2 linked regions of the Macaca fascicularis genome follow. The protein of the gene in region 2 purifies or fractionates together with the protein of the main gene of each other region. This does not show direct contact. Links are inferred from orthologs where the notes say so. Each region holds a gene or a part of one and is shown on either strand. Other genes may lie near its edges. The genes, in order: LAPTM5 and NEDD4.

What was found.
Region 1: the proteins of NEDD4 (region 2) and LAPTM5 purify together in Homo sapiens (affinity purification with western blotting; 3 studies listed by BioGRID and IntAct, with this or other methods). This does not show direct contact. The link is inferred for Macaca fascicularis from reciprocal best matches to the Homo sapiens genes NEDD4 and LAPTM5.

Annotation. Positions count from the first base shown.
Region 1 is NC_088375.1:204,272,338-204,288,436, reverse strand, and holds the end of LAPTM5 (lysosomal-associated transmembrane protein 5), read right to left. Parts: intron 12,868-16,099; coding exon 12,774-12,867; intron 12,035-12,773; coding exon 11,958-12,034; intron 10,257-11,957; coding exon 10,128-10,256; intron 9,395-10,127; coding exon 9,272-9,394; intron 8,041-9,271; coding exon 7,945-8,040; intron 5,618-7,944; coding exon 5,525-5,617; intron 4,235-5,524; coding exon 4,145-4,234; 3' UTR 3,006-4,144; coding exon of another isoform or gene 2,982-3,005; 3' UTR 2,767-2,981; downstream 1-2,766. Other genes in the region: uncharacterized protein, read right to left, coding at 1,446-2,441, 2,982-3,005. UniProt on the Homo sapiens protein: May have a special functional role during embryogenesis and in adult hematopoietic cells.
Region 2 is NC_088381.1:32,286,139-32,302,237, forward strand, and holds part of NEDD4 (E3 ubiquitin-protein ligase NEDD4), read right to left. Parts: intron 11,378-16,099; coding exon 11,148-11,377; intron 9,806-11,147; coding exon 9,684-9,805; intron 9,597-9,683; coding exon 9,526-9,596; intron 7,714-9,525; coding exon 7,618-7,713; intron 7,290-7,617; coding exon 7,216-7,289; intron 6,959-7,215; coding exon 6,898-6,958; intron 3,266-6,897; coding exon 3,206-3,265; intron 3,124-3,205; coding exon 3,016-3,123; intron 2,079-3,015; coding exon 1,982-2,078; intron 1-1,981. UniProt on the Homo sapiens protein: E3 ubiquitin-protein ligase which accepts ubiquitin from an E2 ubiquitin-conjugating enzyme in the form of a thioester and then directly transfers the ubiquitin to targeted substrates. Specifically ubiquitinates 'Lys-63' in target proteins.

The sequences.
Region 1 (16,099 bases), on a different chromosome or scaffold from region 2:
CAGGGGAGTGGAGTGCGCGCCCGATTAGGGAGACGTCAGAGTGCTTCATCTCGGGCTGTGGTTCATGATCAGTCAGCATCGGGTCAGGACCACCTCTCGCTCAGCATGGCTCATGGGAGGAGTTTCTGGATGGAACAACCAGGTGTGTGTGTATTTATGTGGGTGTGTGGAGGTGGGTGTGATTGTGTGAAGGGGTGTGGGGAGTGTGTGTGGGTATGTGGGGGGTGTTTGTAGGTGTGTGGGTGTGTGTGTGTGTGGAGGGGCATGGGGGGTGTGAGTGTGTGGGTATGTGGGGGGTGTGTGGGTGTGTGGGTGTATTTGTGGATATGTGGGTGTATTTGTGGGTGTGTGGAGGTGGGTGTGAGTGTGTGGGTATGTGGTGGGTGTTTGTAGGTGTGGGGGTGGGTGTATGTGGAGGGTTGTGGAGGGGTGTGTGTGGGTATGTGTGGGGTGTGTGGGTGTATTTGTGGGTGTGTGGGGTGGGTGTGAGTGTGTGGAGGGGTGTGGGGGGTGTGAGTGTGGGGTGTGTGCGGGGTGTGGAGGTGTGTTTGTGGGTGTGGTGGTGGGGGTGGGGGTGTGTATGTGGATGTGTGAGGGGGGTGGGGGGTGGGAATGTGTGGGTGTGTGTGGATGTGATTGCTTGATGGGTGTGGCTGTGTGTTGGATGTGTGTGGGTGTGTGGGGGTGTTGGTGTGTATGGTGGTGTGTGTGGGTGTGTGTGGCTCTGGAGAGTATTAATGTGTGTGGATGTGTCTGGGTGTGTGGAGGGTTGCTGTGTATATGAGTGTGGGTATGGGAGGTATGTGTGAGTGTGTGGGAGGAGTGTGAGTGCATGGGTGTGTGTGGATGTGAGTGGGTGTGGATGTGTGTATCTGTGTGTGGGAGTTGGTGTGTATGTGGGTGTTTGTGGGTATATGGGTGTGTGGGTGTGGGGGGTGTTAATGTGTGTGGGTGTGTGTGGATGTGGGTTTGGCTGGGTGTGTGGGTGTGTGGGAGGTTGGTGTGTATGTAAGTGTGGGTGTGGGGGTATATGTGTAGGGGTGTGGGGTGGGAGTGTGTGGGTGTAGGTGTGGCTGTGTGTGGATGTGTGTGGGGGTGTGGGGGGTGTTGGTGTGCATGTGGGTGTGTGGATGTGTGGCTGTGTGGGTGTTTGGATGTGTAGCTGTATGGGGGAGTGTGAGGGGGTAGGGGTGTGTGTGTGAGTGTAGATGTGAGTGCATGGGGGTGTGTGTAGATGTGAGTGTGTGTGGGTGTGTGGAGGGTGTTGGTGTGTATGTTTGTGTGAATATGTGTGTGTGGGTGTGAGGGGTGTGAATATGTGTGGATGTGTGTGTGGGTATGGGGCGTTGGTAAGTACATGGGTGTGTAGGTGTCGGTGTGGGGGTGTGGGGGTGAGGGTATGAGTGTGCATGGATGTATATGTGGGTGTAGGTGGGTGTGTGAGTTTAGGTGTGTGGATGTGTGAGGGGGTGGGGTGTGTATGTTGGTGGGTGTGGGTGTGGGGGGTGTGAGTGTGGGGGGCGTGTATGTGGGTGTGTGAGGGGGTAGGGGTGAGGGGGAGGGTGTGGTTGTGGGGTGTGTGTGTGAGGAGTGCATATGTGGATGTGGATGTAGGTGTAGGTGTGTGGGTGTGTGGGGGTGGGGGTGAGGGGTGGGTGTGGTTGTGTGTGGGGGTTGTGGGTATGTTGGTGGGTGTGTGTGCTGGGTGTTGGGATTGTGAGTGTGGGGGTGTGTATGTGTGGGGGTGGGGGTGAGGGGGTGGGTGTTGGTGTGAGTGTGGGGGGTGGGGGATGTGTATGTTGGTGGGTGTGGTTGTGGGGGGTTTGTGAGGGGTGTGTATGTGGGTGTAGGAGTGGGAGTGGGGGTGAGGGGGTGGGTGTTGGTGTGAGTGTGGGGGGTGGGGCATGTGTATGTTGGTGGGTGTGGTTGTGGGGGGGTTTGTGAGGGGTGTGTATGTGGGTGTAGGAGTGGGAGTGGGGGTGAGGGGGTGGGTGTTGGTGTGAGTGTGGGGGCTGTGGGTGTGTACATTGGTCAGTGTGGTTGTGGGGGATGTGTGTGAGGGGTATGTATGTAGGTGTAGGTGTGGGTAGTTGGGGGTGAGGGGGTGGGGTGGGTGTGAGTGTGTGTATGTTGGGTAAGTTGGTGGGTGTGATTGTGGGGGGTGTGAGTGTGAGTGTGAGGGGTGCATATGTGGGTGTGTATGTAGGTGTAGGAGTGTGGGTGTGTGGGGGTGGGTGTGAGGGGGTGGGTGTGGTTGTGTGTGGGGGTTGCGGGTATGTTGGTGGGTGTGTATGTTGGTGAGTGTGGGTGTTGGGAGCGTGAGTGTGGGGGTGTGTATGTGTGGGGGATTGGGGGTGAGGGGGTGGGGGTGGGTGTGTGTGGGTATGTTGGGTGTGTATGTTGGTGGGTGTGGTTGTGGGGGGTGAGTGTGTGACGGGTATCTATGTGGGTGTGTATGTAGGTGTAGGTGGGGTGGGGGTGATGGGGTGGGTGTTGGGGGTGTGAGTGTGGGGGTGTGGGTGTGTACTTTGGTGGGTGTGGTTGGGAGTGTGTGGGGGTGTGTATGTAGGTGTAGGTGTGGGGCTTAAGTGAGGGGGTGAGTGTTGGTGTGAGTGTGGGGGTGTGGGTGTGTACGTTGGTGGGTGTGGTTGTGGGGGGTGTGTATGTGGGTGTGGGGGAGTGTGGGTGAGTCCTGGGGGTGGTGGAGGTAGAAGGCTGGTCTCCGCCCTCTCTACACTGTATTTCCAGAAACACATCAGCCAGAGAGAAGCTTGTTGCTGCTTTATTGAAACTTCCTCCCTGTCGCACACAAAGCAATTACACAAGGGGGTATTGCCAGGAAGCTTTTGCAGAGCCTTCTCCCTCTGTACCCCCCGACAGTCCCCAGAGACCCTGCCTCTGTGGTCTCCACCTCTGAGTCCGCTCCCTGGAGGACCCCGACACACAGGGAAGCAGGCACAGGAGGGCTGTGGGGGCCAAACCTCCCTGGTTGCCACAACCACCATGACCCCAGTGGCAAGGTCTGTGCCCACAAGGGGGTTGCCTGCTTTGACTGAACTAACCGGTGGGTTTAGTCCAACGAACAGATGTGCCCGACTTCAGGGCTGAATTTTTGCTTGATCACAAGCCTCAGGCAGAACTGACTCGTCTATGACTGAATCGACTGAATGGATGGCCAGCAACGGCCTGGCCTGGGAATGGACTGGCAGCTCGTCACTAAAATGACTGTGATTGAGCTGACTCCTTTCATGGAATCAACCACTATGCAGCCACACTGACCACAGAGCAACTGAATAGGTGAGCATTGGACTGTTGATGACAACTCTTCCGCAGAACAATTGTGTGTTTGAAGAGACGGTTTTATGATGAAATAACTGTTATTTCCTGGAGCTAATTATTGAATGACAGTCTGTCAACTGTTTAAATTAATCTCATTTGAATTAACAATTATACAGTCACTCAGAGGTCCTACATTCACCAGAGTTGGCATCCAGTTGATGGGTTCATTTGAATAAAATGGTTTGGAGGCTAACTTGGTTTTTTAAATTGAATTTCGTCACTATTCTATGTATTCTATTTATCACTATTCTAAACGACTCATGGTTGGCTAACTGATTATCATTTAAGCAAGCTAGTTGAAGAAATTGATTACATATATATTTATATATGGGGGTAGCTAATTGATGACTACTTGATTAAATTGCTATGTGAAGTGACAACTATTTATAAATCAATGCAATAGACTGTTGTTTTGACCAAATTATGTTACTGAACTGACAAGTGGGTTTTTGATGCGTCAGTTGCTTGGCTGAACTGATCAAGTCGATAGTTGCTTAACAAACTCACCAACTTTAGAATGACCGATGGTCTAAACAAGTGTCGGAGCTGATTGACATAAACCAAGCATTGTTGGGCTGAATTTTTGAGAGACCTGAGGAGTGATTCAGCCTAAAGCGTTGACCCAATTGTGAGCAGCTCACAGGCCCTGCAGGAGGAGCAGGCCAGCGAGGGAGACACAAGCAGATTGTCCTGCCGAGGGGGGGGGCAGGAGGGTCCACCCAGGCTGCAGGGGCCACCAAAGCAAAAAAGCAAATTATGAGGCAGCTCCACCCCTCCCAGCACTGGGGCTGGGGCCAGGCGAGGGTCACACTTCTGAGTATGGGGGTGGTGCTGGGTCGCCCTCTGGGGTCTTCGATGGCAAAGACAGGGCTTCCTCGTAGGACGGAAGGACCACCTGGGAGAGACACAGAGATGAGGGTTGAGTATGATCAAAAACGACCTGCAATTCCAACCCGGGGTCATGGGACCCAAACCCCCACCTCTGGCAAAATGATGCTGGTGCTGCTGCTGATGATGATGATGATAATGACTGGCAGGTCTTGGATGTTTGCTATGTGCTAGACACTGCCTGCATGAGATAGGTGCAGTCCCCAGCCCTGTAGTGGACATACTTGCCTTTGCCTATTCAGCATCAAGTCCCCCTTATTTTGAATACAGTGCACCATTTTCCTTGGGAAAACATTCTCTGTCCATATACCTCCAAAAGAACTCGTCCCATCCCTCAGATCCAGCGGGGTGGCTGGACTTGGCCACTCAAAGTAGAATTCCATCCTCCTGGCTATCGTCCTTGGTTTGGGGATAGGCACGTGGCCCAAGTTGGTCCAATCAGACATACTACTGGGACCTTCTTTTTCTGTTGGGATTACTGAGAGGGTGGGATATCGCCTAGGGGTTTTGGCAGTCATTTTGCCACCACAAGGGACGGGCTTCCTGAAAATGAAGCCAACATCAAGGAAAGTAGAGTCGAGAGATGGAGAGGATGAGATCGTATCCTGATGTCGTAATTCAGCCAGGCCCAAGCCAGACCTACATTTGGCTGCTAAGTTCTATGAGCTAGTAAATTCCTTAAGTCAGATTGAGTTGGGTTTTTGCCACTTGCAACCAAAAGTGCCTTAACTAATACAATCTCCACCTTACCGGGGAGGAAAGTAAGTTACCAGGAATTTAAACCATCACTTTCCAATAAGCTACTTCTAAGTACACCCCATCCTCTCTTCCCCGAAAGCCTCCTTCTCCTTTCCCAGCTATCTCGTATCCATTGTCCCTCCAAGACCAGTCAACTGTCACCTCCTCCAGGAAGCCTTCCCTGATATCCAAAAAGAGGCCAGGTCTTTCCTCTGTGCTTACTGTCCCTGTGCTTCACACCAAGTTGTAATTGTATCTATGTGTCTGAACTATACACTCCTCTAAGGCAGAGGTGGCATCTTAGTTTTCTCTGCGCCCCCTGGGATTGATATGAGACTAGCAAAGAGTGAGAGGTAGTAAATACTGAATAAATGAATGAGTGAGTGAATGAGTGAGTGAATGAATCTTAGACTACCAGAACTGAAAGAGACCACATTTCTTCTGTTCCAACCCTCGTCTTACAAACAGAGAAACCAAGGTCCAGAGAGGGAAGGAGACTCGACCCAAATGGCACAGGCAGTGAATGGCAAGGCTGGCACCCACCTGCAGCCAAACTCACCTTCTGGAACATCTTGGAGTTGCTCCTCTCCTCAATCGAGTTCAAGCACTTGATGAATCTGTAGCACCGCCACACACACTTGAACATGTAGACCTGGAAAAAGGCCCAGGTCAGGCTGTGCTCTGCTGAGCGTCCTTCTCACACTCCAGCAGGCCTAGGACGTATGCCAGGCAGGAGCCACCACTCTCCCCAGAAGCCAGCATCCAGCCGCTCCTGCTCAGACCTCTCATTCTGTTCCTCACCAGCCAGTCCAGAATATTCCAGGTACTGCCCTTTTCATTGCCCCATAGACACCACATAGCAAGCGGATTTTGGTGGCTTCTGGCCCACCCTCCAATTTCCCCGGCAATAGACCCACAGCTCCTGCTTGACTGCCCACACTGACCGGGAGCTCACTACCTCCCGAGACAGCCCTGGCCATCTGGAAACAGAGCTGATGGTGGGACATGTTTTCTTCAAAATTGCTTCTGATATGTTGTTTTCTAAAGCAGATTACAAAACAGCATGTGCAGTATTGGTCCATGTTTATAAAGGAGGAACAATTGGTATATATCCATCAGCTGATGCAAGTTGATGTAAGAATTGGGCAGAAGCTTTCCAGAGTGGGGCGTACAATCCCAAGGGGCGAGCTCAAGAAACAACAGAAAACCCCCAGGATGCCCCCTGAGCAGGAGGAGAGGGTCCTGTATACTGGAAGGTCTTGTTTGATGGATTCCCTGGTTGGGCACATAGGTGGGGCAAGGAGACATGTGGAGGTACTGAGTGACAAAGAATGAGGCATGAAGGCCCAGGGAAAATCAAGTCGGTGGAGGGGGCCAGCAAGGCAGAATGAGGGTCAAAGAGGGAAACCCCTCATTCTGGAAGATCAAAAACAGAAGGGGAGCTGGGGGACGGAGCTGTGTGGTGGGATCTGGGGAGGGGTCCTGCAGTAGAGAGTGCCGTGGAAACCCCACACTGACTTCCCCCATGAAGCCTTTGGAGCGTTCTCACTGCACACTCACTAGTGCTTTTGTGCTAGGTCAGTCCTTGGAGAAGATGTTAAAAGGGGCAAGGTTCTGTTTCTAGATTGGCATTAGGTGACGGCAGAGACTGCCCAGGGCCTCAGATGGAAGCAGGAGCTGGAGTCCGCAGACGCCCACCCACCAGCACAGAAAGGCTGGGGGGAAATGCCCCAAGTTAGCAGTGATGTTCTCTGTGTGGGGTGGGGATGGTGGAGTGCTTGTCTTCTTTCTACTTATCTGGAGTTTTTTGTTTTTTGTTTGAGAGGGAGATTCTCACTCTGTCGCCCAGGCTGGAGTACAGTGGCACGATTATGGCCCACTGCAGCCTCTACTTCCCAGGCTCAAGCAATCCTTCTGCCTCAGCCTCCCTAGTAGCTGGGACTACAGGCACGTGCCACCACATGCGTCTAATTTTTTTTTTTAATGTTTTGTAGAGACAGAATCTTGCTATGTTGCCCAGGTTGGTTTTGAACTCCTGGTCTCAAGCAATCCTCCCAACTTGGCCTCTCAAAGCACTGAGATTACAGGTGTGAGCCATCGCACCCAGCTCACCTGTAGTTTTTTAATTTCTACAATGACCTATGTTACTTTTATGATCAGAAAAGAACACTTCTTAAAAGCCCTTCCTTCTGTTCTGTGGTCATCAGCATCCCTGTGGCTTCAGGCCACAGGCCCCCATTGTGGCCTCTAGGATCCCACAAAATTCCCCACGAGAGTTCTTCAGGTGTTAAGAAACAGCAGTCGTGTCCCCCTTGAGTCCTCTATTTTCCATGCAGAATAGCACTCAGGTCTTCGTTGGGTTTTGTGGGGGGGTTTTTGACTTCCTAAGATGGTATGTTTTCTTGTCTCTTCACATTGCTGGTTGCACTGCTGTGAACACACTCTGGTCCTTCACCATCACTCAGACCTGGGTCCTGAAGCTGGACCCTATCCCTGGGCCTGACCACCCCAGAGAAGAATGAGACCATTCCCCTCCCTCCTTCTCATCAACAAACCTCTATTAACATGATCTCAGGCACATGTGGATGCCTGAATTACACAAAACTGTAACATAGGCAAAGTAAGACTCATGCCCCTGAGGCCCAGAGAGAAGTGACTTGCTGAAGACCAAGCACACAGCTAATGACAGTGGGGCTGGGATTCAAACGCAGGCCAGTCCAAATCTAATTCCGGACAGCTGGAATTAGACATCCGAACGCAGGTGGCCTTCATGGATTCACATCCCCTAAACGGGCTGTCTCGGAAGATCCCAAGTAAAGTCAGAGGAGCTGGCATGGGATAGCAAGAGAAAGGAGCTAAAAGCAGGAGAGGAGGCATGGAGGACACGTGTCCCTGCCTTCTAACAGCTTGGCACGGGCAGGCCTGGGCCCAGCACGCCTCACCACCCCTCCCAGAGCCACAGGGCAGGGGTCCACTCACCTTGAAGATAAGGACAGTGATGAAGGCGATGGAAAAGATGATCATCATCTTGATGAACTGGTTATACGGCATATCCTCCTGGCTGGGGAGGTAATTCTGCAACAGATTTGGGAGCCACATCAATGTCTCTGGACATAAGGAATTCCAACAGCACCCACACATCCAGGACTAATGATCCCACCCTCCACACACACAGGAGCACAGTGTGGCACAGCCGTCACCTTGGTCGACCGCCACAGCAGCCTTAGGAAGCAGGTGCTACCCTCAGCCCCATCCCACTGACGGGCAAACCAAGAAAAGCCAAGTGGCTACTACCTCCAGATCCGCGTCCCAGGCTGGTGCACCTGCCCATCCCCAACTGGCAGGTGTCAGCTGCCCATGGGCCACACCTATGCCCTTCTCTAGAAGATCATTTTGGCTGATAGGGACCACCTAATCCACTAGTACCCGGGAGGTTACATTCGCTCCTCTAGGGGCAGCTTGAAACCAATGACTGATGCAGAGGAACTCGCCCTAGGTGAGACTGCCTCTGCGGTCATTTGCAAATATTACCACACATTCTTTGAGACTCCTCCCTTCTAAAGGTAGTGTTTATTTCCTGTCCCCATGAGTGTGGGCTGGACTTAGCAACTCACTTCTAACTAACAGAGTGTAACAGAAGTGATGGAAGTCGTAAAAGACACTGCCTTTCCTCCTTGCTTGTCTCTTACATCGCTCCCGCAGGGGAAGCCAGCAGCCATGTCAGGAGAGCACTCAAGCATCACTACTACAAGTCCACACGATGAGGAATTAGACAAAGAGCCCACATCCTGTGAGTGAGCCACTGGGAGTGCATCCTTCAGATCCAGTCAAGCCCTCAGTTGTCCACAGGCCCAGGGACCATCTTGGGTGCAGCCCACCAGAGTCCCTGGGTCAGAAGAACCCAGCTAAGCCACTCCCAAGCTCCTGATCCTCAGAAACTGTGTGAAATAATAAATGTTTATTGCTCTAAGCCATAGTGTTTAGAAATAATTCATTAGACAGCAATAAAAACGGATATTATGTCTGTGTTGCAATTCACACACCAAGGCCCTCTCTGGGATCATGCAGGGCTGCTCCTATAGTCGTGTCTTTGCTTGGTTTCCTCCTTTTCTCAAACCTGCCTTCCTCACTCCTTACAAGTTTCCTCCTGAGAGGGCTCCCTCAATACATCACCAACACAAGAATCTTCCTCCCAGGTTCCAGCTCCAGGGAACCTGGCCTAAACCACAGACACACAGAGACATGAAGTAACTTGTTCAAGGCCACACAGCCAACAAATGGGCATGGACCACTGCCCCAGACTCACCATGTGGTTCATGGACTTGAAGTTGAGATAGGTGGGCACTTCCATGTAGGAGCTGCAGAGGGTCAGGATGCTCAGGCAGAAGTCCAGCAGCTGCAGCGTCATCAGGGGGAACTTGGAGGGGCTCTGGGGAGGACAAATACAAGGAGGAAGAATAAGGAGCGGCAATTAAAGTCCCAGTTACTGAGCAGCACATAATATGCCCTCACTTGAGAGAGCATCTCAGCTACAGACATCATCGACTCATCCCCTGTGCACAGAGAGACGTGAACACACAGATGTTCATACCAAGAGCTGGTGGCAAACCTGGGACTAGAACCAGGGTCTCCAGACTCCTAGGCCAGGGCCCTTTCACGATGTAGTCCCTCGGTCTCTTCAAGGACAACAGTTGGGGAAAGTGAGAAAAGCAACTTTGGGTGACTGTGTCCTTGACTGGTAGCAGCCCTCAAGCCACTCCACAGTGGACACTCACTGGCAGGAATCATCCTTCTCTTCCTTTCTTCAACTTGGAATAACACTGGGGGCTGGGGGCCTGAAAGCACACGTGCCCTTTCCTCAGGTGTCAATTCACTCCCAGCGGCACTGACCAAATGCTGACCATGGGCTACACCCCCCAGTGTGCGTGTTCCTCATTTAACCTTCATAAAGCAGGCTGGTGAGATGTGATTGCAGGTACATTCCACAGAGGAAGAAACTTGGGGCAATGTGGAGGGACTCAGAGACTGGGTCAAGACCCCAGCCAGGAAGAGGGCTCCTACCCTCCCCAGCCTGAGCCCAGGGCCCGTGTCTGGCCCCCTCCCATCTCCCATGCCAGGCCTGGGGTCTGCTGTCCAGTGAGAGGTGGGGGCTGGGTACTCACAGCACGGCTCCGGGAGGCCAACTTGAGGTAGGCAGGCAGCTCAATGTAGGAGCCCAGCAGGGTGAGCAGGCACAGGAGATAGTCCATGATTTGCAGGGACAGGAAGGGCAGCAGGTACTTCTCCCGGTTCTGAAAGGTAGGCCCAACACCATCAAGTGTCCCCTGCATGCAGCCAACACTCCCCCACCCAGCCTGATGTCCTCATGCATCCCCTGCCCACCCTCTCCCAAATCTTCCCTGCCCTCCTCAGTTGAGGTCACCTTCCTCTGAGTGACACTCTGGGGACAGGGAGTGGACAAAACCCAGGCCCTGAATGAGAGGAGTCTTGGTGTCCCAGGAGACGTAAGGGAACCGTCCCCATCTATCAGGGCTCAAAGAGCAGGATTTGACTCAATTTGCTCACAAGAACCCAGCAAGGAAGGGCTTTGTGCACTTTTTACAGAGGAGAGGGGATCGGAGAGGACTTGCTGGAGTTGGGGACACCAGGGCTAGATCGGGGAAGGAGACTAGGAGCGAGCAGGAGGGAGGGGTGGGGCACTGGAGGCAGAAGGACCGACATGAGCGAAGGCCCAGAGGCAGCAGAGAGCCCTGGCCCCCCACCCCCTCCATCTCCCCCACCACCACCCCACATACAGTTGGACCTCCCTCCGCGGGCCACTCCCAGGGGTCCAAAGTCACAGTAAGGGGCCCTGCCAGGAAGAGGCTGAAGTCCCTCTCCTTCAATTGAAAGCAAGTGACCACCGTGACCAGTATTCATTCATATGCTCTCACAGCTGGGGACAAAATCACGGAAACAGGGGTTTCCTGGTGTCTCATGTGGTCATTTAAAATCACTCAGGAGGCAACCAGAACAACCTTGACTGATCTCAGAGTCAAGGACCACTTGCTCCATTTCTCCATTTCCCTAGCTGAACCATTTGAGTTTCTGCACAAGCACCCAGAGCCACCCTGCACAATGCAAACGGCCTCCCCGGGGAACATGGGTTCCAAGACACAGTGGATGTTAGCAAGGGGAGAGGGTGTTGGCATTTTAGGCAGGGTGGGTGCATTCCAAACCAGCACCAAATCATCACCTCACTCCTCCGGCCCTGCAAGTGCCAGGCCCCTGTCTGCTCAGGAAGGACTCTCTTTCTGGATCCTACTCTCATGGCCATGTGATGAGGCCCTGGCTTCCTGCCTTTCTGGGGACCAAGGGACAGCGGCTTCCTCTTCTGCAGGGGGTTGAGCTGCAGCCCATCTCAATCCTCCCACCAGATTTGCCTCGGGCCCAGGAGCCCCTCGTTGTCACACTAGACTGTCCCTGTCTCTCTGAGGGCCCATCTTCCCCAGTTAAATCATGAGCTCTCTGGGGGCCTTCCAGGGCGTAGGTCCCCCTCAGGGTGCTGGCACCTGTCACTGCACAGATAGAGCTGCATGCATCCTACGTTCCTCCTGCTTCGGCTCCTCTCATCCATTACAAAATCCAGTGCTTTCTCCCCTCCCTCACCCCCAGAAACAACACTTCCTCTTCTCACTCTCCAAATTCCCTGCTTCCACCTGCCATTTAAAAGGATGTGGGTCATCAGCTAGTTCTCACCGAAATGTCGGTGACCAGCATGGCCCACCAGGCCCGGCCCCATGGAGGCTCATGTTACCAGGGAACCGAGGTCACCAGCCCAGGGAATCTCAGGGAGAAACATGGTTCGCCAAAAGGTAAATGTGAAGATCTCCAGCATGCAGGTGGGACCTCCGAACACACCCGCCTCCCCCCCGTCTCGGCACCCAGCACTGCCCATCAGCGGGTGTGAATAACAGGAAGGGGCAGGGGCAGCGGGGCTCCCGAGCCCTCACCTTGACCACACCGATCAGCAGGCTCAGGCTGATGACGAAGAGCATGGCGATGAGCATGAAGCTGGAGATCAGGTCGGCTGAAAGGCAAGGAGAGCAGTGAGGCGCTCAGGGGTACCCCCGGCACCCAGCCAGGCTCCCAGGAAGACACTTCAGGAACCACTGGTTTGGGGACACGAGGGTGCACAGGAAAGCCCAGGCCCTGCCCTCACGCAGTCCTCAGTCTGGAGTGGGTACAACGACAAAAGCAGAACATCACGCGTAGCACAAGGTGGATGCGACAGAGGGTGTTGGGCTGGAGGTGCAGGCTGGGGTCCACTTCAGCCAGGGTGAGGCCGAGGAAGGCATCCCTGGGGAGTGGCCTGAGAGCAATGAGGAGTCGGCCTGAGACAGGGACAAGGTTGCTGAGGTCAGTGTGGCTGAAGCAAGGTGTGGGCTGAAGAATTGCAGGGAGATGCTGTCAGAGAAGTGGGCAGGGGCTGGGTCCCATGGTGAGGAGTTTCCATTTTATTCTAGTGTGATGAGCAGCCACTGACAGCTTTAAGCAGAAGAGTGAGGCTGTCACCTTTACCAGCTGGTGGGGGTTTGCAAAGTGCCATTCCATCTGCTCTCACCACCTGCATATGTGGGTGGGGTCAGGTGGAACATCCCCATTTGCAGATGAAACAGCCGAGGCCCCAAGAAAGGAAGACACTTGCCAGAGGTCATCCATCGTCCATGGAGAGGTGACAGGGCCTCCAACCCCAGCCTGGCTATCCCCAGCCAGGGCCCTCCCTGTCCTCCTCCCGCCGCCACTCCACCGGCGTCCCCTGGACCTACCGATCCTGAGGTAGCCCATCTTCGAGAGCTTGCAGGACGCCTTGCCATGGGCCACCTCTATGGAGTGCTCGATGAACAACAAGACGCTCATGATCTGGAGGCAGAGCAAAGCGTCAGTCAGCTGAGCCTGCATCACGGCCCCCCGACCAGCTCTTCCCACCTTAGTGGTGTACAGCAGGGAAGCCAGTAGTGAGGATCCTGGAGTGGATGGCATGCCAGGTCAGTAGGGCATCCCAGACAAAAGAGTGGCCTTTACATAGAAAGCCCATGCTCAGAATCCTGGGTCTTCCTCTCTCCAGCTGTGTGACCCTGGACAAGCTACTTGACTTCTATATGCCTTGGTTTGCCCATCTGCAAGATGGGGATAATACTAGTAACTTCCTTAGGAGGCTGCCGTGAGAAGTAAATGAGACTATCCCAGGAGAGCCCTTGGGCCCGGCTCTCAGTAAGAGTGGTAACTGTTACTACTGAAGGTCAGGCTTAAAGGGGTGGGGTGGGGGGTAGAAGTTGAAGGCCCCTCCACTGCACCCCCTTCTCTAACAACAGGCTCTGGGGATCAGAGAGCATCATAGAGCTTCAGGTTCCCGGAATCATCAACACAGGCCCAGGAGGGCCCTGGAGAGCATCTAACCCTGAATCCCTGTCTCCCATGGCCCCTCAGGGAATAATAACATCTTCCTCACAGGATTGTGGTGGAGCCAGATGGGATAATTCACTTAAAGTACCTGGCAGATAGTAAGCACTCCATCTGTGCTATTATTATTACCGTTATCCCCACTCGACTGTAGGTTCCAGGCAGGGAAAGCTTGTGTGTGTCTTTGTTCATCCCCCTAGCTGTTGTATTTGTTGAATGAATGAATGAATGAATGAATGAACAAATGAACCCCACGCTCTCAGAGGACCGTTGCTAAGAATGATGGGGAAGGGGCGAATCTGATAGGCCAGAGTGTTGGGGTGGACCTAGAAACCACTGAAATTCAGCCACAAAACTGCAGTTTGAAAGAACCTTGGAGATCACTTTGTCCATGCCTTCCACCAGCCAGTGCAGGAATCCTGTGCCATGCAGCCTCTGCTGAAGTGCTTCCAGCCATGGGGAACTCACAACCTTACGTGTGTCCATGTCCTTGCAGCAAGCCCTCCACCCTTCCCCTACGACACACATGCAGTTCTCCTCTGCCCATATAAAGAACAAGAAGACTCTCCCCTCCCTTCTAGTGGGTGCCCTATCTCTATTAATATGGCCCTAAGTTTACATTGGCTTTCTAGGCAGCCCTGCACTGGTAACTTATGCTCAGCTGACAGGCAACCAGCTACCCACCATCTGTTTCCCCCTTGCTGACTGTGTGGGTTTGTTTTTTGTTTTTTTTTTTAGCTCAGACACAGGTCTCAACTTGTCTTCCTGCCACATTACATCCTGTTTATGGGCGTGGAAAGGGACTGAACAGAAGAGTGATGAAGAGCTGGGCTCCAGATCAAGAGGGATTTGAACCCAGATCACTGTGTGACCTTGGGCAAGTCTCTTAACCTCTCTGAGTTGCCTCATCTGGAAAACTGCAATCGCTGGATTCAGTGAAGATTAAATTGCATTATACTTACAAAACCCTGAGCTCAGGGACTGGCAGGGGGTGCCCAGCAAACAGAATCTGCTTTTGGCTGGGGCAAGCTTACGTGGTTGGGCAGTAGTACCAGGAGCATGGTGCATGCTCTAACTGCCCCCTCTAGCTGCTGGAGAGTGAGCTGGAAAGGCTTTGTCTCATCATGAAAGTCGAGAGCACCCTGAGCAGAAGGCAGGTGTGGTGAGGGCTATGGCTAACACTCAGAGGAAACAGCCCTGAGAGAAAAACTCCTTCCTCAGTCCCTAAAGGCCAAGCCGCAGCCCCTCTCCTCTCAGTTTCACCTTGAACGAGAGAAAGAGAAAGGGAGGCAGATGACAGCTCCATCCAGCACAGAACGGGGTGTCCTGTGAAGTGGTGAGCTCCCCGTTCCTGGGAGTATGTAAGCAGATCACAGATGAGTCACAGCTGGGCTTAGGGAAGGACCATGAGCATCAACCAGCTGTGAAACGAGAAGACTTTCAAAGTGTCAAGATTCCAGGAGTATCTGAGATCTGGAACAAAGCCTAGAATCAGATCATCTCAACCTCCCCTTGCTAGAAGGAGCCTACCTCTACTTGTTTTATAAGCTCCCTCTGCTTGTTTTATAAACTCAGAGAGATTAGGTGGCTTGCCCAAGGACACACAGCAAGTTGAGTGGGGGATCCCAAGTCTCCCAGTGCTATTCTGATGCCTTCCCATTCCCCTGACCCCCAAAATGCCTCAGAGCCCTGCTAGCCTGAACCCTGGGGAGGACTTCGATGTTTTCATCATGCACCTATGTCAGTAAAACCTTCTGAACACACGCCTCTATCTTCCTTTCTTTCTAAATTACATGAATGTGTTACTGTCCTAGTTTATCATGAACATCATAAAACAGCTACTAAAAAATTTCCAGAAATTAAAAAATTGTATGATTGAAAAATTTAGAATTTTAATATTGTCATCCTGAGGCCATGAGGTCACCCTGAACATTACCCGACTTTAGAGACCTCTACTAATCCTCAACTCCCCTCTCAACTCCTCTGTTCTCCTCCAAGCATCCCTCACTGCCCTGCAACCCCTCCAACCACCCCAGGGGAAGAAGGGGACATTTGTATAGCCTAACCCCACGCCACGTGATCTTCCCCTCTACTCAGCAGAGGGATTATTAATACTTTCACTCTCATTTCACAGATGAAGAAAGTGCAGCTCAGGGAGGTCCAGGGCCTTGCCCAAGGCCTCCCAGCTGGTCATATGTAGGGTTAAGGTTCAAATCTTGGCCAATTCCCTCCACTGCCCAGCATCTCCCAGCCACCCAGCTCTGCCTGAGGCCTGACCCTTCCCTGTGCCTCAGTGGAGGCAGAGAGGTGCCCCCATCCCCTCTCCCTCTGTAGTCCCCCTCCCTCCCCTCAGCCTGAGCACCAGACACCAGAGGTATTTCTACTTTTGTGAAAACCACGTGCACTTAAAACCCAGGTCACCCTCCCCCTATTTCACCTTCTCAACAACCCTGAGGCAGGGGACGGGGGAGGACTTTGTCCCTATTGCCGGATGGCCCACGAGGCTCGTAGAGAGCAGGGACCGGCCCACGGTCACGGAGCGAGGCAACCTCAGAGCCTGACTCAGACTCTGCGGGGCCCCGACCTTCCACGAAGATGCCAGTCCCTGACCCGGTAGAAAGGGAGGAAGCTCGGCTCCAGGCGCCCATGCTGCTCTCTAGGACATAGAATGGAGAAGAACTCACATTTATTC
Region 2 (16,099 bases):
CTGCAACCTCCGCCTCCTAGGTGCAAATGATTCTTGTGCCTCAGCCTCCCAAGTAGCTGGGATTCCAGGTGCGTGCCACCACACCCAGCTAATTTTTGTATTTTTAGTAGACACGGGGTTTCACCATGTTGGCCAGGCTGGTCTTGAACGCCTGACCTCAGGTGATCTGCCTGCTTCGGCCTCCCAAAATGTTGGGATTACAGGCATGAGCTACTGCACCTAGCCAACTTAACATACTTTTTATTGGCTATCTAATATTGTAATTTTAACATTTTGAAACAACTTATTTCTATAAATACATAAGAATTTGACTTTATATTCTAACACAAACAACTCTGGCTCTATGTGTGGCATATCTGCCCCAAATTTCAAACAGTGCATGAAATCAGTGGATGGTTATAGGGCTGGGTTACATAAAAGAGGGAAGAGAGGCCAGAGACAGAAAGGGGCATTTGTTTGCCCTGCCTTTATTTTTCACTACCAACTGGTTAAGGCAGAGAAGAGAGAGGAAGGGGAATCAGGTGAAACCACGAAAAAGAAAGAGGCTATGAAGTCCAATTAGGCAAAGAATGACTGAATTGGTCCGTGGCAAAGCTAACCACTTTTGAGTGGTTACTCTAGGTAGAGAAGTAGCAGCTGCTTGATCAGTTCTGCAAACACACATTAATGAGGCTTGGCAAGCTGACCAGATTTGCCATGAAGAAAGGGTTTAGCTATCCCATCAGATGGTCAGCTTCTATTTGCACAACAAATTCAGCTTAGCGATTTCCTAGGCAGCAGTCCCGACTTCTAATCCCCAGGACAATCCTAATCTTACTCGTTGTTCTGAGTAGGGTTCCCACTTCAGCTACATCCTTTCTAAAAGATTTATTCTTGGATTCTTGGTATCCTTAAAAGCAAGTAAATATCATTCCAATAAACAGAATATGAATCAATGTGAGAAAAGTTGCTGCAATCTACATCAGAAACGGCACTTTTAAACAAAACACACCTCCAGTTTTGTACATCAACTGAAAAATAATTTGATAGAATACACAGAATCTTACTTTACTGAAAACTGCATTAACTATTCTAAAAATCAAGAGATATGGGCACTCTTCTCCCCAGTCCCGGTGCTCCCCCCAGGAAATGAAAAATAGTAGCCTAACGAGATTCTCTACCCCTATCTTGAAAGGAAAAAAAAAAAAAAAAAGATTTCATGATCAAATAAGTTTGGGAAACAATGCTTTTGTTTTCTTCTAACAGTAAAGGTTCTACACAAGTCCTGAAGAAATCCATTTAACTTTGTTTAGTCCAGCATTTCCCTAAAGGTATTCAACTTGAATACACTTAGTGACATTCTGTGAAACTTCAAATGCTATCCTGAACTATCACATGAGAAGTAATGCTTTTTCATTTTTTTGAGACAGGGTCTCAGTCTGTCACCCAGGCTGAACTACAGTGGTGCAATCTCGGCTCACTGCAACCTCCGCCTCCCGGGTTCAAGCAATTCTCCTGCCTCAGCCTCCCGAGTAGCTGGGACTACAGGTGCACACCACCAAGCTCAGCTAATATTTGTATTTTTGGGTAGAGATGGGGTTTCACTGTGTTGGCCAGGCTCGTCTTGAACTCCTGACCTCAAGTGATCTGCCTGCCTCGGCCTCCCAAAGTGCTAGGATTACAGGTGTGAGCCACCCCTCCCGGCCAAGGTAATGCTTTTTCTGTAACTGACGCACACGGGGCATAGAATCTGAAGTTAAAGAAGGGAAAGTGACTCGTAAGTCATTTGATGTTTCCAGTTTTCCCCTTTATTATCTGATTCGAAGGTGCAAATATATTTTAGCCTACTCTAGTGTCTCTAATGATATCACTTTCAAAATCTTAATTCTTTTTAAAATTAAGCTAAATGTTAGTAAATGATGGAAGCGTGAGGATTCATCAGCCATGAAAAAGACAATAGGCATCACTCCATTTTTTTTAATGATCTATGGAAAATCCTTACCATATAGTTCAGCAAATCCATTCATAGGCACCCGAGATGTGCCAGTGACAAACTGAAGTAATCTTATTCTTTTTTCTGAATCCATCATTAAAACAGCCTGAATAAGATAAAAACATCATTTAGGGAACAGCACTGGGAAAAAGGTAAACAAATTATCCTGAAACATAAGCTATCAGAATTTAGCTAGAATAGTAACAATCCCTTACTAGATGTGGATGTTTCTTTTAGTTAAATTTTTATTTATGGGTGGGTTATAAAGTTCTTGAAAACTTTATTTGTAAGGCTACATGGCAACTTTTTAGAATGGGATTATAACCTAATGAAGTAACAAAATTTCTCTTGAGATATGACTCATGACTTTTAAAACTTATATGCTGGGCGCAGTGGCTCATGCCTATAATCCCAGCACTTTGGGAGGCTGAGGTGGGCGGATCACTTGAGGTCAGGAGTTTGAGACCAGCCTGGCCAATATGGTGAAACCCGTCTCTACTAAAAATACAAAAAAATTAACCAGGCATGGTGGTGCATGCTTGTAATCCCAACTACTCGGGAAGCTGAGGCAAGAGAATTGCTTGAACATGGGAGGCGGAGGTGGCAGTGAGCTGAGATAGCACCATTGCACTCCAGCCTGGGAGACAGAGCGAGACTCCATCTCAAAAAACACATTATATTAATATTATTGAATGGCATACACATTTCTCTATGAGACATTTTAAAAGAGCCACTCAGGAGTCCCTAGGAATACCCTGTAGGTTATTACAAGTTCTTTCAGAGTCCCTACTTTAGTAGAAAACTAAGTGCCTGTCTCAGCCTGTCATTCCACTTACTACCTTCTGAACATTTTACTTACCTAGTAATGGTTATAGACCCAGAAGGTGCATGTATACGGTACAAAATCAAAGATCATTTTTGCTGGTCTCTATATTTTTCTGTGTCAGTTAAATGTAATCCACCAGTATAGTTAATCAAGAGTTGACTTAAATATGATTCAATCTATCAAAAAGTAATTTACGAAAAGAGAAGTTTCAAATTACCTTCCAAAACCACTGTATAACCTGATGATTTGCACTGTAGCCATTTTTATACTTTGTATGTTCCCTCCAGTCATTCACATCGACATCTCCCAGTCCACACATAAGAAGCTACGTAAGAAATGTCAAATTATAAACAAGGAAAATAATGGGTTCAAAATTTTCTGTTTCAACATAAAATGTTATGTCTTACCTCTAGTTCATTTTCATCAAAAATTTTGATGAGATCCTGTGGTATTAGTTCAAAGAATCCCTAGAAAAAAGATGTATTTAAAAACCTGATGGGCAGGGCCAATGGCCTTTCCTATGCTTCAGCTTCCGGGTGCCACTGGAGGAATCCCACAGACACACAAGTTTCTACCGCTACACAATCACGGGCTCTTCACTGAGATCTCAATATTGGCCAGAAAATGTACATGTGCACAGTCTGTTCTCTCATTTATTCCTCAAAGTGGCTATTTTTAAAACTTCCTGTGGCCAGGTGCGGTGGCTCATGCCTGTAATCCCAGCACTTTGGGAGGCTGAGGTGGGCGGACTGCTTGACTCAAGGAATTTGAGACTAGCCTGGGAAACATGGTGAAACACCGTCTCCACAAAAAAATACAAAAATTAGCCAGGCATGGTGGTGTAAACCTGTAGTCCCAGCTACTGGGGAGGCTGAGGTATTCCAGTCTTGGCGACAAAGTGAGATCCTGTCTCAAAACAACAAGAACAACAACAAAAAACAAATTTGCCATCCTTCTCAAGCCTCCACATCACCCCTTCTTTACCGTAGGTAAGTGTAAGTTCTATTTGAGGGAAAACAGAGGCAATTATGCATGATGGAACTCCCTCAAGCTTCTGCATCCCTGTGTCCCAACCATCACCAACACCCATCATGGCCTCCTTCCCGCCGCAGTGGAAGACAGAAGTGCCACCTCTTCTTTCAGGCTAGGCCTGCACCTGTGCTTCACCTGCTCCGCAGGGAGGTCATCTCACTAGATCTCTTTCTCTTTATTGGCTCACTCTGTATGCATTTAAATTTGCTCAAGTCATATCTACCTTTAAAGCAAACAAACAAACAAAAAAACAAAAACAAAACTAATGACCCTCTTTTTCCCTTCACAGGCAAGTTCTTGACAGTGTTATGCACTTAGCATATCCATTCACTCACCTCCCATCTAACACTCAACCCACTGCAATCGGACTTCTATACTACAGCTTCCTTGAAATTGTTCTGGAAAAAGTCAAAGACGGCTTTGCAGCTATATCTAATAAACACATTCAATTCCTTATCATATTTGACTTCTTTGCAGTATGATATGATTAAAACCATCTTTGCTATTGAAACTCTCTCTGCTCTTGATATCTTTCTGTCTGCCTTTGTTATTTTCCTTATTTCCTTTACAGTCTCCTGTTTTTTGTTTTTTTTTTCTTTTTTCTCCCATGCCCTAACCTGTCCATTCATAAACCATCCATTCAAAACAACAGTTAAGATGCTGGTGTTCCCAGTTCTCTCTCCACATGTCAGGCCATCCACTTTCACTGCCCTTTCACATTTTCCATCGTATCAAGTTCGCAGCTTCACTATACGTAGGCAAATGAGCCCCAAATCCATACATCTCTATCCTTGAAGTCTCCCTTTCTGAATGCCATTCAAATGCACATGAAGCTCTGACCACCACCACTATCTTCATTCCCTTCCCATTCCTGTCTCAACTCCCTCACCATTCCCTTAATTCCTTACCATTTCTCACCAAGATTATGTAGCCCTTTCCCAACTCTGCTGGGAAGTCTCTGCTGCTAGTCTTGCTCTCCTCTAACTCGCTCTACATGGCACTTCCAGAATGATCTAAAACATAAATTGAATCTTGGTGTCTTACTGGTTAATAGCCTTTAATGCTACCTTCCTTCCCCCTCACTGAAATTCAGAGAAAACTCCAAACTCTACCGCTTCACACACAGGCCCTGTATAAGCTGGTCTGTTAGCTCTGCAGGCTGACTGTTTCCGTCTTGCATTCTCTCACCCAGCATACTCAACTGCCTGTGGGTAAAGCCTACCTTACTGCCAGACTTCACATACGCTGCTCCTGCTAGAACTGCATTTCCCTCTTCCCCATGGTTGGCCAATCCCTCTAGTCCTTCTTTGTCCCTTCCTTTGCCCCTCCCTGGTTTGCACTCTTCTCTGCTCACCTAGCACTTTATGCTTGCCTCTGTTCATTTCTCTCTTTACATCATACATCCCTTAAGAGCAGGACTTATGTCTTTTGGCCTCGTACAGCACCATACACATAGTACTCAATACGGAATTTATGAAAAAGTATGTGATCACACACACACACACACACACACACACACACACACACACGCACACACTCTTTAGAGACAAGGTTTCACTCTGTAGCCCAGACTGGAGTGCAGTGGTGCCATCATAGCTCATAGCTCACTGTAGCCTCGACTTCCAAGGCTCAAGTGATTCTCTAGCCTCAGCCTCCCAAGTAGCTGTGACCATACGCACATGCCATGACACCAAGCTCATTTTTTTTTTTTTTTTTGAGACTAAGTCTCGCTCCATTGTCCAGGCTGGAGTGCAGTGGCGTGATCTCAGCTCAGTGCAACCTCTGCCTCTCGGGTTCAAGCAATTCCCCTGCCTCAGCCTCCCGAGTAGCTGGGACTGCAGGTGCACGCCACCACGTCCGACTAATTTCTTTGTATTTTTAGTAGAGATGGGGTTTCACCATGTTGGCCAGACTGGTCTCAAACTCCTGACCTCAGGCAATCCACCAGAACTCGGCCTCCCAAAGTGCTGGGATTACAGGCATGAGCCACCGTGCCCAGCCTAATTTTAAATTTTTTATAGAGATAAGGTCTCCCTATATTGTCCATGCTGGTCTCAAACTCTGGGCTCAAGCAGTCCTCCCGCCTCATCCTCCTCAAGTGTTGGGATTATAGGCATAAACCACCACGCCCAGCCAGATACTTATTTAACAGAAGATTGTAAATTATCTTAAGAAATGAGTGCTCTGACAATCTGTCTACCAATTGGGGAAATTTTAAGTAACTTACTAATTTATATTCTGAATAAAATATAGCCACAAAGAAAGGCAGCTATATGTTTTCACATGTAAATATCCCCAATAAATATCTGATAAAAGAAGAAAGTAGGTCGAGTGCGGTGGCTTATGCCTATAATCCCAGCACTTTGGGAGGCCAAGGCGGGTGGATCACTTGAGGTCCGGAGTTCGAGATCAGTTTGACCAACATGGTGAAACCCTGTGTGTACTAAAAATACAAAAATTAGCTGGGCGTGGTGGCGGGCACCTGTAATCCCAGCTACTCGGGAGGCTGAGGCAGGAGAATCGCTTGAAGCTGGGAGGTACAGGTTGCAGTGAGCCGAGATCAGGCCGCTGCATTTCAATCTGGGTGACAGAGTGAGACTCTGTCTCAAAAAAAAAAAAAGAAGTAAGTCAGTCACAAAACAAAATGTCTAAGGTGATCCTATTTAGAAAAACAGACAATATGTTATACTACGCCTAAAGCACTCTCGTTCTTTTGCTGTCCTAAGGTGAAAGGAATGGAATAGGGAAAAGGCTTGGGGGAAAGGGGACCTGTCAATGTTTATTGTCTAGACTTCTTGAATGACTGAATGAAATATTTAGTTAATATAAAAATATAATTTAGAATGATTTCACAAAACAAGCCATACACTTATTTTTCTCAGAAGTGATGAGGCCCAATATTTGAAACTTATGGGTCCAGCACACCAACATGGCACATGTATACATATGTAACAAACCTGCACATTGTGCACATGTACCCTAGAACTTAAAGTATAATAATTAAAAAAAAGAAACTTATGGGTTATACTATGAAATTACGGAAGAGCAAATAAAAGAAAACGAATACCTCTTTAAAAGCAGCCATTTGCTTCTGGATTCGGTTTACAAATCGCCATTGTATTACAAGACTAAAAAGAAACAACATTTCATTTTCACATGAACCAAGACAAAATTCTGAGTCACAATTATTCTAGTTAGAAACAAAAACTAAAGGCTAGCTGAGCCCAATGCAAAGGCTGAATATGAGTGCTCGCTACTGCATTGAGATAGAGAAAAAGAACACTGAGATTCTGGCCAAGGGGACAGAGAAAGATGGTAAGTGGAGTCTTTTTGGAGTAAAGGACAAAATTATATCCCATAAAATAATTATTAGCAAAATACTTACTAAATATATTCCTTTTTGTTCTTATTGGTGACAACTATTTCTGATCCACCATTTTTCAGCTCATGTTGGTGTGTCTAAAATTAAACACAATAACTTGATATGTTATTTTACTGAGAAAAATTTTAAAAGTATACATATTGTAGTTATACAAGAAACCTGGTGTTTTAAATTAAGTCCAGTCACAAGTTAAAAGCTAAGAAAACTTAAAATATTAGTTTTACTAAAATAAATATGGAATGAGTCAAATGTTAAAGAAAGCACAAATTCTTGCTGAGAGACAGTTTTTGTTACTGGAAAATAAATGTAAAAACAGAGCCTAGGAATGTATTCAGTGTACGTATTAACATCAAAACATTTGTTTCACAATTTATGTGCCATTTTAACTGATCAAAATTAACAAACCTGTCCGAAAAGTTCTTCATCTATGATAAACCTGAGGTCCAATTCTGTTGGGTCATTTTCAAGAATCCATCTTAGGGAATTGTAATATTCACTATCCTAGATGGGAAAAATTACGTATTTAAAATTTGTACATATAACACACCTGAAATTGCAAAAAAACAATATGTAGAGGGGCTGAGTAATTGGGTAAAAGATGAGAGGTCAGATGGACATCCTTTACTTACACACATAAACAAAAATGTATGTGTGTATGTGTGTGTATTACAAAAAGAGATGGATGGTAAGGGCAAGAGTAAAAATGCACCAGTCAATCAATCAATCAAGTGGTGCCTACTGAAAAGTTCAGAATCTATGTTTATGTGGAAGCAGTGGAGGTACAGATTGTATCATCCAGTTAAAGGAATGAATACAGAAGTTTTCAGATAAAACCTAACTTTTGGCTTTGGATATCCAGGAGCACTTAGCACATTCCTCATATGCCTACGTGACTATAATGTTTTATTTTTATTTTTTAATTTAATTTTTTTTTTTTTTTTTGAGACAGGGTCTTGCTCTGTCCCTCAGGTTGGAATGCAGTGGGGTGATTGTGGCTCACTGCAGCCTCGACCTCCTTGGCTCAAGTGATTGTCCTACTTCAGCCTCCTGAGTAGCCGGGACTACAGGCATGCACCACGACACCCGGCTAATTTTTGTATTTTTTGTAGAGACAGGCTATCACCATGTTGGCCAGGCTGGTCTCAAACTCTTGACCTCAAGTTCCACATGCCTTAGCCTCCCAAAGTGCTGGGATTACAGTTGCGCACCCCTGTGTCCGGCACTGTGTGTGAAATGTTTAAGTAGCTATGAGGAGGCCATTGTTTATACCCAGCCCGAGTTAAAGAAAAATCTCTAAATAAATATAGAGGCTCAATGAACCAACTCAAATAACCGTGCAATCTTACGATTTATAAAGAAGCACACTGTTTGTGCTGTTAATATGTAATAAGAAAATAAAAAATGAACTTGGTACTAAGGAAGATGTCCTAGAATTCATGTGTACACACATCGTGTGAGGCTATTCAGCAGCACAGGAAACAACATGGCTACAGTCAGGGGTTTAATCCTTGGGCTTCTGTTTTTTTCTAGGAGCCTAACCATAATGCTTTGCCTTTCGACTGCCATTTAAAAAATATACACCATATGGTCGGGCGCAGTGGCTCACGCCTGTAATCCCAGCACTTTGGGAGGCCAAGGCGGGTGGATCATGGGGTCAAAAGATGGAGACCATCCTGGCGAACACGAAACCCCATCTCTACTGAAAATACAAAAATTAGCTGGGCGAGGTGACGCGCACCCATAGTCCCAGCTACTCGGGAGGCTGAGGCAGAGAATTGCTTGAACCTGGGAAGCGGAGGTTGCAGTGAGCCGAGATCACGCCACTGCACTCCAGCTTGGCAACACAGCGAGACTCTGTCTCAAAAAAAAAAAAAAATATATATATATATATATACACACACACACACACATGCAATATTCATCATAAAAGATCGTAATGCAAATACTGATTCCAAAGACACATAACTTGTACAACCTATTGAAGTATTTAGTGGGATGTTTACTGTTATCTATAACTTACTCTGAAATGCATGAAGAAACTAAGATAGGCTGATGGATAGACAGACAAGTATGTGATACAGTAAATCTAGAAAAAACCAATTGTGAGTAGTGGATATACAAGTGTGCGGGGTAAAATACTTCCATCTTTATTAAACGTTAGAAAATTTTCATAATAAAATGTTGAGGAAAAAGTTAATTTGTATTTTGAAACATAATATATTAATTTCCATGTCATTAAAAGCAAATTCCTCAAAATGTTCAAGTTACTTATTAAATTATACTTTGTCTAAACTATAAGTGAAAAAGACATACCACAGATTCCATATCATGAAGGGTTATTGGTTTGTGAAGCATCATCTTGTAAAATGGGCGGATGAAAAAACCTTGCAAAAAACCAAATACATTTAGGATGATTACCAAGTGAAAGACAACAGGTAATTACATTGTAAAAGTTTATACTTAATACTAACCATCCAACAGTTTGCCATGATACACTGCCATTCCAGCTACCCGACCAATAAACTTGAAGTAAGATAGGTGATCTTCATTACACAATCCAGAGTTTGGATTTATCTGTAGGGTATAATTGTCCCTGTAAAGACAACCCCATTTAAATACTTCATTTGAAACACTTGAATATGACAAATAATTATAAATAATCTTCCTCTTTTAAGAGTTGTTTACTACTGTTAGAACCACATTCCTCCACTGAATTTAATGGTTTTAAAAATAGTAATTTCTGTCAAAAAGTGGAAATAACCCAAATGTCCTTGGCAGATGAATGCATAAACAAAGTTTTGTTTGTTTGTTTTCGAGATGGAGTCTTGCTCTGTTCCCCAGGCTGGAGTGCAACGACATGGTCTCAGCTCACTGCAACCTCCGCCTCCCAGGTTCAAGTGATTTCCCTGTCTCAGCCTCCCAAGTAGCTGGGATTAGAGGTGCCCACCACCACGCCTGGTTAATTTTTGTATTTTTAGTAGAGACAGGGTTTCACTATGTTGGCCAGGCTTGTCTTGAACTCCTGGCCTTGTGATCCACTTGCCTCGGCCTCCCAAAGTGCTAGGATTACAGGCGTGAGCCACCGCGCCTGGCCTAAACAAAGCATTATATGCAAAAATAATGGAATATTATTCAGCCTTAAAAAGGAAGGACATTCTGATACATGCTACAACATGGATGAACCCTGAAGACATCATGCCAAGTGAAATGAGCTGGTCACAAAAAGACAAAGATTGAATGATTCCACTTATGTGAGGTACCCAGAGGAGTCAAATTTACAGGGACAGAAAGCAGAATGGTGGCTGCCAGGGAATGGGGAGCAAGTGCTTACTGGGTACGGAGTTTCATTTTGGGAAGATGAAAAAGTTCTAGAGTTGGATGGTGGTGATGGCAGCACAACAATAGAATGTATGTAATGACTCTAAATTGTATATTTAAAATGGTTAAAACAGTAATTTTTTTTTTTTTTGAGACGGAGTCTCGCACTGTCACCCAGGCTGGAGTGCAGTGATGCGATCTCGGCTCACTGCAAGCTCTGCCTCCCAGGTTCATGCCATTCTCCTGCCTCAGCCTCCCAAATAGCTGGGACTACAGGTGCCCACCCCCACGCCCGGCTAATTTTTTTTGTAGTTGTAGTAGAGATGGGGTTTCACTGTGTTAGCCAGGATGGTCTCGATCTCCTGACCTCATGATCCGCCCGCCTTGGCCTCCCAAAGTGCTGGGATTACAGGCAAGAGCCACCGCACCTGGCCTAAAACGGTAAATTTTATGTAATGTGTATTTCACCACAACTTTAAAAAAAGTCACTTCTGAAGCAACATTAGTTAAAATTGCCCTTTTCAGGCATGACATATATTTTCCTTGTATCATTTGACTCTTACTTTTAAAGCAGTGATTTTTCTTTTTCTGCCTATAATCATTGTAAAGGTACTTACGTAGCAGAATATTCAAACAACCCATAATAAGGGTTAAACATTTCTTTTGAGATCAGAAAGAACCATTCTCTGGCGACTCCTCCATAATCCAATCCCTTTTCACCATCAAACTCAATCCACAGTCGAGCCTTGAGGAAGTCTGCCCTCTTGACACCCATAATTCTCCGGTAAGAGTCCTCAAGAATAGTTGCTCGGCGAAGTTTCATTTCAAATTTGTTTGGAATGTCATTCTGAAAATCCAGAGGAGAGACTTACTGTTTAAATCAGTTCAACATAATCACAAACATCTCTCTCATGAAGTTATAACATTCCCTCTACACCCTGTGTCCAAGTCTCTTTTTCCTTACGTAATATACTCAGGGAAAACACAACTAGGTATATTGTCTTGGTTTCCTCTACGGTATGAGAGAGTTCCTGCATTTTCTCTAATTACTTAGTAATATAGACTTCTTTATATCTGAGGAAGCTTTTTGGTTTTTGGAGACAGCTCTGTAATCCAGGCTGGAGTGCAGTGGCGTGAACATGGCTTACTGCAGCCTTGACCTCATGGGCTCAAGTGATCCTCTTGCCTCCGCTTCCTAAGTAACTGGACCATAGGCGCGTGCCATCATGCCTGGCTAATTTTTTAAGTTTCTGAGGTCTTGCCATCTTGCCCAGGCTGGTCTCATACTCCTAAGTTCAAGCAATCCTCCCGCTTTGGCCTCCCAAAGTGCTGAGATTATAGGCATGAGTGAGCCATGGCACCCAGCCTAAAGAAGCTATTGATGGTGATGGTAATGCCCCCATGAAGGCATTTCATTAATAGTCCTTTTCATATTAAGTTCCAATGAACACCGTTCTGTGACCTGTAGGATAGCCACTGCCTGCTAGCTGTTGCCTGCCTGTCTGTTCAGGGTTTTCCCTACCTCTACTTTCCTCCCTGGAGTCTATCTTCCTTCACTCATTAACAGATGGTGACGTTTACAGACTGTGCCAGTGATATGTTTTGGCTGTGATCCTACCCAAATCTCATCTTGAATTGTAACTCCCACAATTCCCATGTGGCGTGGGAAGAACCCGGTGGGAGGTGATTGAATTATGGGGGCGGGTCTTTCCCCGCACTGTTCTCGTGATAGTGAATGGGTCTCATGAAATCTAATGGTTTCTATGCACAAGCTCTCTCTTTGCCTGCTGCCATCCACGTAAGATGTGACTTGCTCTTCCTTGCCTTCTGCCATGATTGTGAGGCCTCCCTAGCCATGTGGAACTGTAGGTCCAACAAACCTCTTTTGTAAATTGCCTGGTCTCGGGTATGTCTTTATCAGCAGCATGAAAACGGACTAATACAGCGAGGCATGGGTCCCCTGGAATGGTAGGTTAACTCATTTAACTTTAAAACAACACTATGCAAAAGCTATTCTTATTGTCTTCATTTTACATATAAAACTGAAGAAGACAACTTAAGAAAGTGTTAGCTCCTGAGTCTGTACTCTTAATTAATGGAGCTACATTGCCTCACTAATCTTTTGTACATTCTTTGCTTATGTGACAAATATACACAACTATGCTTTAGGCAGACCTTTTTGTACATTTTACAAAAGATATATCTAAATATTTTATTCCTTAGTACTTCGTGGGCAAATTTCCATGGGAAACCAGTAAGAGAAAACATGCCATCAACATTCTGTCACCTCCAAAAAAGAAGGTTAGCTCTAAGGGAAAAAAATCAATTTCATTCTCTATTTAGGGAAAATGGAAAGCCCTATAGAAACATAATAATATAAGCAGTTGATATAAGCAATATAAGCATGATATGAGCAGTTTCTTATACTGCTTATGTCACTAAAAAAATGGTAAGCTTGCAGAAAAGTAACTTTAGACTGGATACTAGGGAGCTGGTGCAGGTAAGCATTTATCAAAGGCCTACTTGGGCCAGGTGGTATTGTGGTAGGGCCAACGATGGGGAATAAAAAGAATAAAAACACAGGGTAAGATGTCGTTGCTTCCTCAAGGAGTTTCTCATCTGGTGCATATGTGAAAAACAAGTGTAAACGCTGCTAATTCTGAGACTTAAAATAGGAGGACAATTGCTGATGATAAGAGATGGAAGCAATGTTCTGCAGGGCATAAAAGACTGAGCTATTGACTTCAAATGAGGCAATCAAGAAGGCTTTGAGAGGAAGTCTTTAGACAGAGAGAAAGGGAGGGAAGGATGGAGGAACAGCATACATGAGGGGTCTGATATATTTAATACCTACAGGGTACAGAAGGAGAAGAAGAGAGAGGAAGGGAAAGAAAGCAGGGATTATAGCGAAAAAATATGACAAAGCAGTCTGGGAGCAGAGGGTGGACAGTGTGAATGCAGATGAGAAGAGAGTTTGTGAGTAGGAAAGCCACACGGTCAGATCGCTGCGTTCTCAGAAGCTGACAGGACAGGGTGTAAAGGGTGGTTTTAAGGAGGAGAAACAAGAGGTACACTGGTCAGTTAAAGATCCCTGGAATAGCTCAGTGAGAGAAGATAGAGGGACCTGTGAAGGAGCAATGGTAGTGGAAGAAGAGAGGGTTACAGGAGAAACTTGAGTGTTTGAACTGAGTAGTAGACAAGTGCATGCATTCTGAAATCTGGTCCTGCGTTCAAATCTTGACTCCACCATTCGTTAGGAGTGAGACTTTGGACAGGTTACATGTCTTTTCTAAGGATTAATTTCCTCATTCATAAAATAGGGATAATAATAATGATAGCTATCCACATGGAGTTGTTTCAAGACTTAATGGAATAATGCATTAAAAATGCTTACACAGTATCTGGCATATGGTAATTATTAGCCATCATTATTCCTAACTACAAGATGTTGAGAATAAGGAAGAGGAAAAGGTTAAAGACAGTGCATGGCTTTCAAGCACCGGTTTTTAATTTTTCTTTTTTCTTTTCTTTTTTTTTTTTTTTTTTTTTTTTTTGAGACAGAGTACTGCTCTGTCATCCAGGCTGGAGTGCAGTGGCATGATTATAGCTCAGTGCAGCTTTGAACTCCTGAGCTCAAGTAATCCTCCTGCCTCAGCCTCCCAAAGTGCTGGGATTACGGGCATGAGCCACTGCACCTGGTGTTTTTAATATTCTTTCTCTCTGTTTTGGTGCTACACGTTCTTACATTCTAAGTGTTCTGCTCTTTTGCTATGATGTGTCTAGATACAGATTTTATTTTTAAAATATTGCTTGGGCTTTTTTATTAATGTTGAGAATTCATATTCTTATCCTTCTCCTCCTTATGATCTTGGTCCCCTCCTTCTGGAGTGACTTCATGTCCTTTTATTTTATTTTATTTATTATTATTATTTTTTGAGACAGTCTCATTCTGTCGCCCAGGCTGGAGTGCAGTGGCATGATCTCGGCTCACTGCAAGCCCCGCCTTCTGCGTTCACGCCATTCTCCTGTCTCAACCTCCTGAGTAGCTGGGACTACAGGCGTCCGCCACCTCGCCCAGCTAATTTCTTGTATTTTTAGTAGGGACAGCGTTCCACTGTGTTAGCCAGAATGATCTCAATCTCCTGACCTTGTGATCCACCCGCCTCGGCCTCCTAAAGTGCTGGGATTACAGGCGTGAGCCACCGCGCCTGGCCGACTTCATGTCTTTACCCTTTCTTTTATATGTTTATTCCTTTACCTACCTTTGTTGCATTCTGGGTAATTTCCATACAAATTAATTAATTTCTCTCTTAATTCTCTTAGTCACCAATATGATATGTCATGTTGCTTAGGAACATGGGATCTGGAGCTAGACCACTTAGCTTTTCTACTTAATAACCATGGGACTTGATCACATTACCTATTCTCTGTGCCTCAGTTTCCTCATCTGTGAAATGTAATAGTAGTCCCTTCCTTACAGAGTTATTGTAGACATTAAATGAATAACATATGTAAACTTCTAAGAAGAATGCCTGGTATGCAGTGAGAGATCAACAAATATAATTGCTTTTATCTTTTTTTTTTTTTTGTATTTTGTGGCCTGTAATGGCATTGCCTCCCATCTCCTGCCGCCTGGAAGACATTAACAATTAGATACTACAACATGTTTCAACCACTTAGAGTGGCAAATGGAGAAGCTAGTGCTTCTATTCCTCCAGCATATTCTCATTAAGAATGAAAATATTTACCAGAACAATGAATCAGCAAATATTTAAAATCCCAAAGTCTAGAAGTAGAAAACAAATTTCCAGGGAAATTTTGACACAATGTTATCTTTTCTTTTTTCTTTTTCTTTGAGACAGGGTCTCACTCTGTTGCCCAGGCTGGAGTGCAGTGAAGTGATCTGAGCTCACTGCAACCTCTGCCTACCTGGTTCAAGCGGTTCTCCTGCCTCAGCCTCCCGAGTAGCCAGGATTACAGGCGGGTAACATCACACCCAGCTAATTTTTGTATTTTTAGTAGAGACGGGGGTCTGACCGTGTTGGCCAGGCTGGTCTGGAACTCCTGACCTCAAGTGATCCACCCGCCTCAACCTCCCGAAGCGCTGGGATTACAGGTGTGAGCCACTGCGCCTGGCCCACAAAATTATCTTTAAAAATGAGTTTAGAAAGTTGATGATATTTAAGGATTTTATTAGGGCATAAAATGTTTACACTAAAAAAACTATCATGTTTTATTTTTGTTAAAAATCTGGGTGAAAATCGGAGGTAGCCGACCCACCATCTTGAATCTTTGTGAAAGCCAGCTTCTGGCTTAGAATGCAAGAAAGTATAACCCAATATGGCCACCTAGTGGTAGTATTCCTAAACTGCAGGCAGAGGAGGACAGGATGAGCAAGTAAGAGGCACTAAAACTAGCAGACACCAACAGAAATGAAATAGATGGCCAGATGATGAGTTTAGTTCCAAACATATTGCATTTGTGGTGATGGGAAAAAGTGTACTGAACATAACTGATAAGCATACGGAGACAAGTCACAAGAGCACAGTTCCACTCATGATTGTATTTT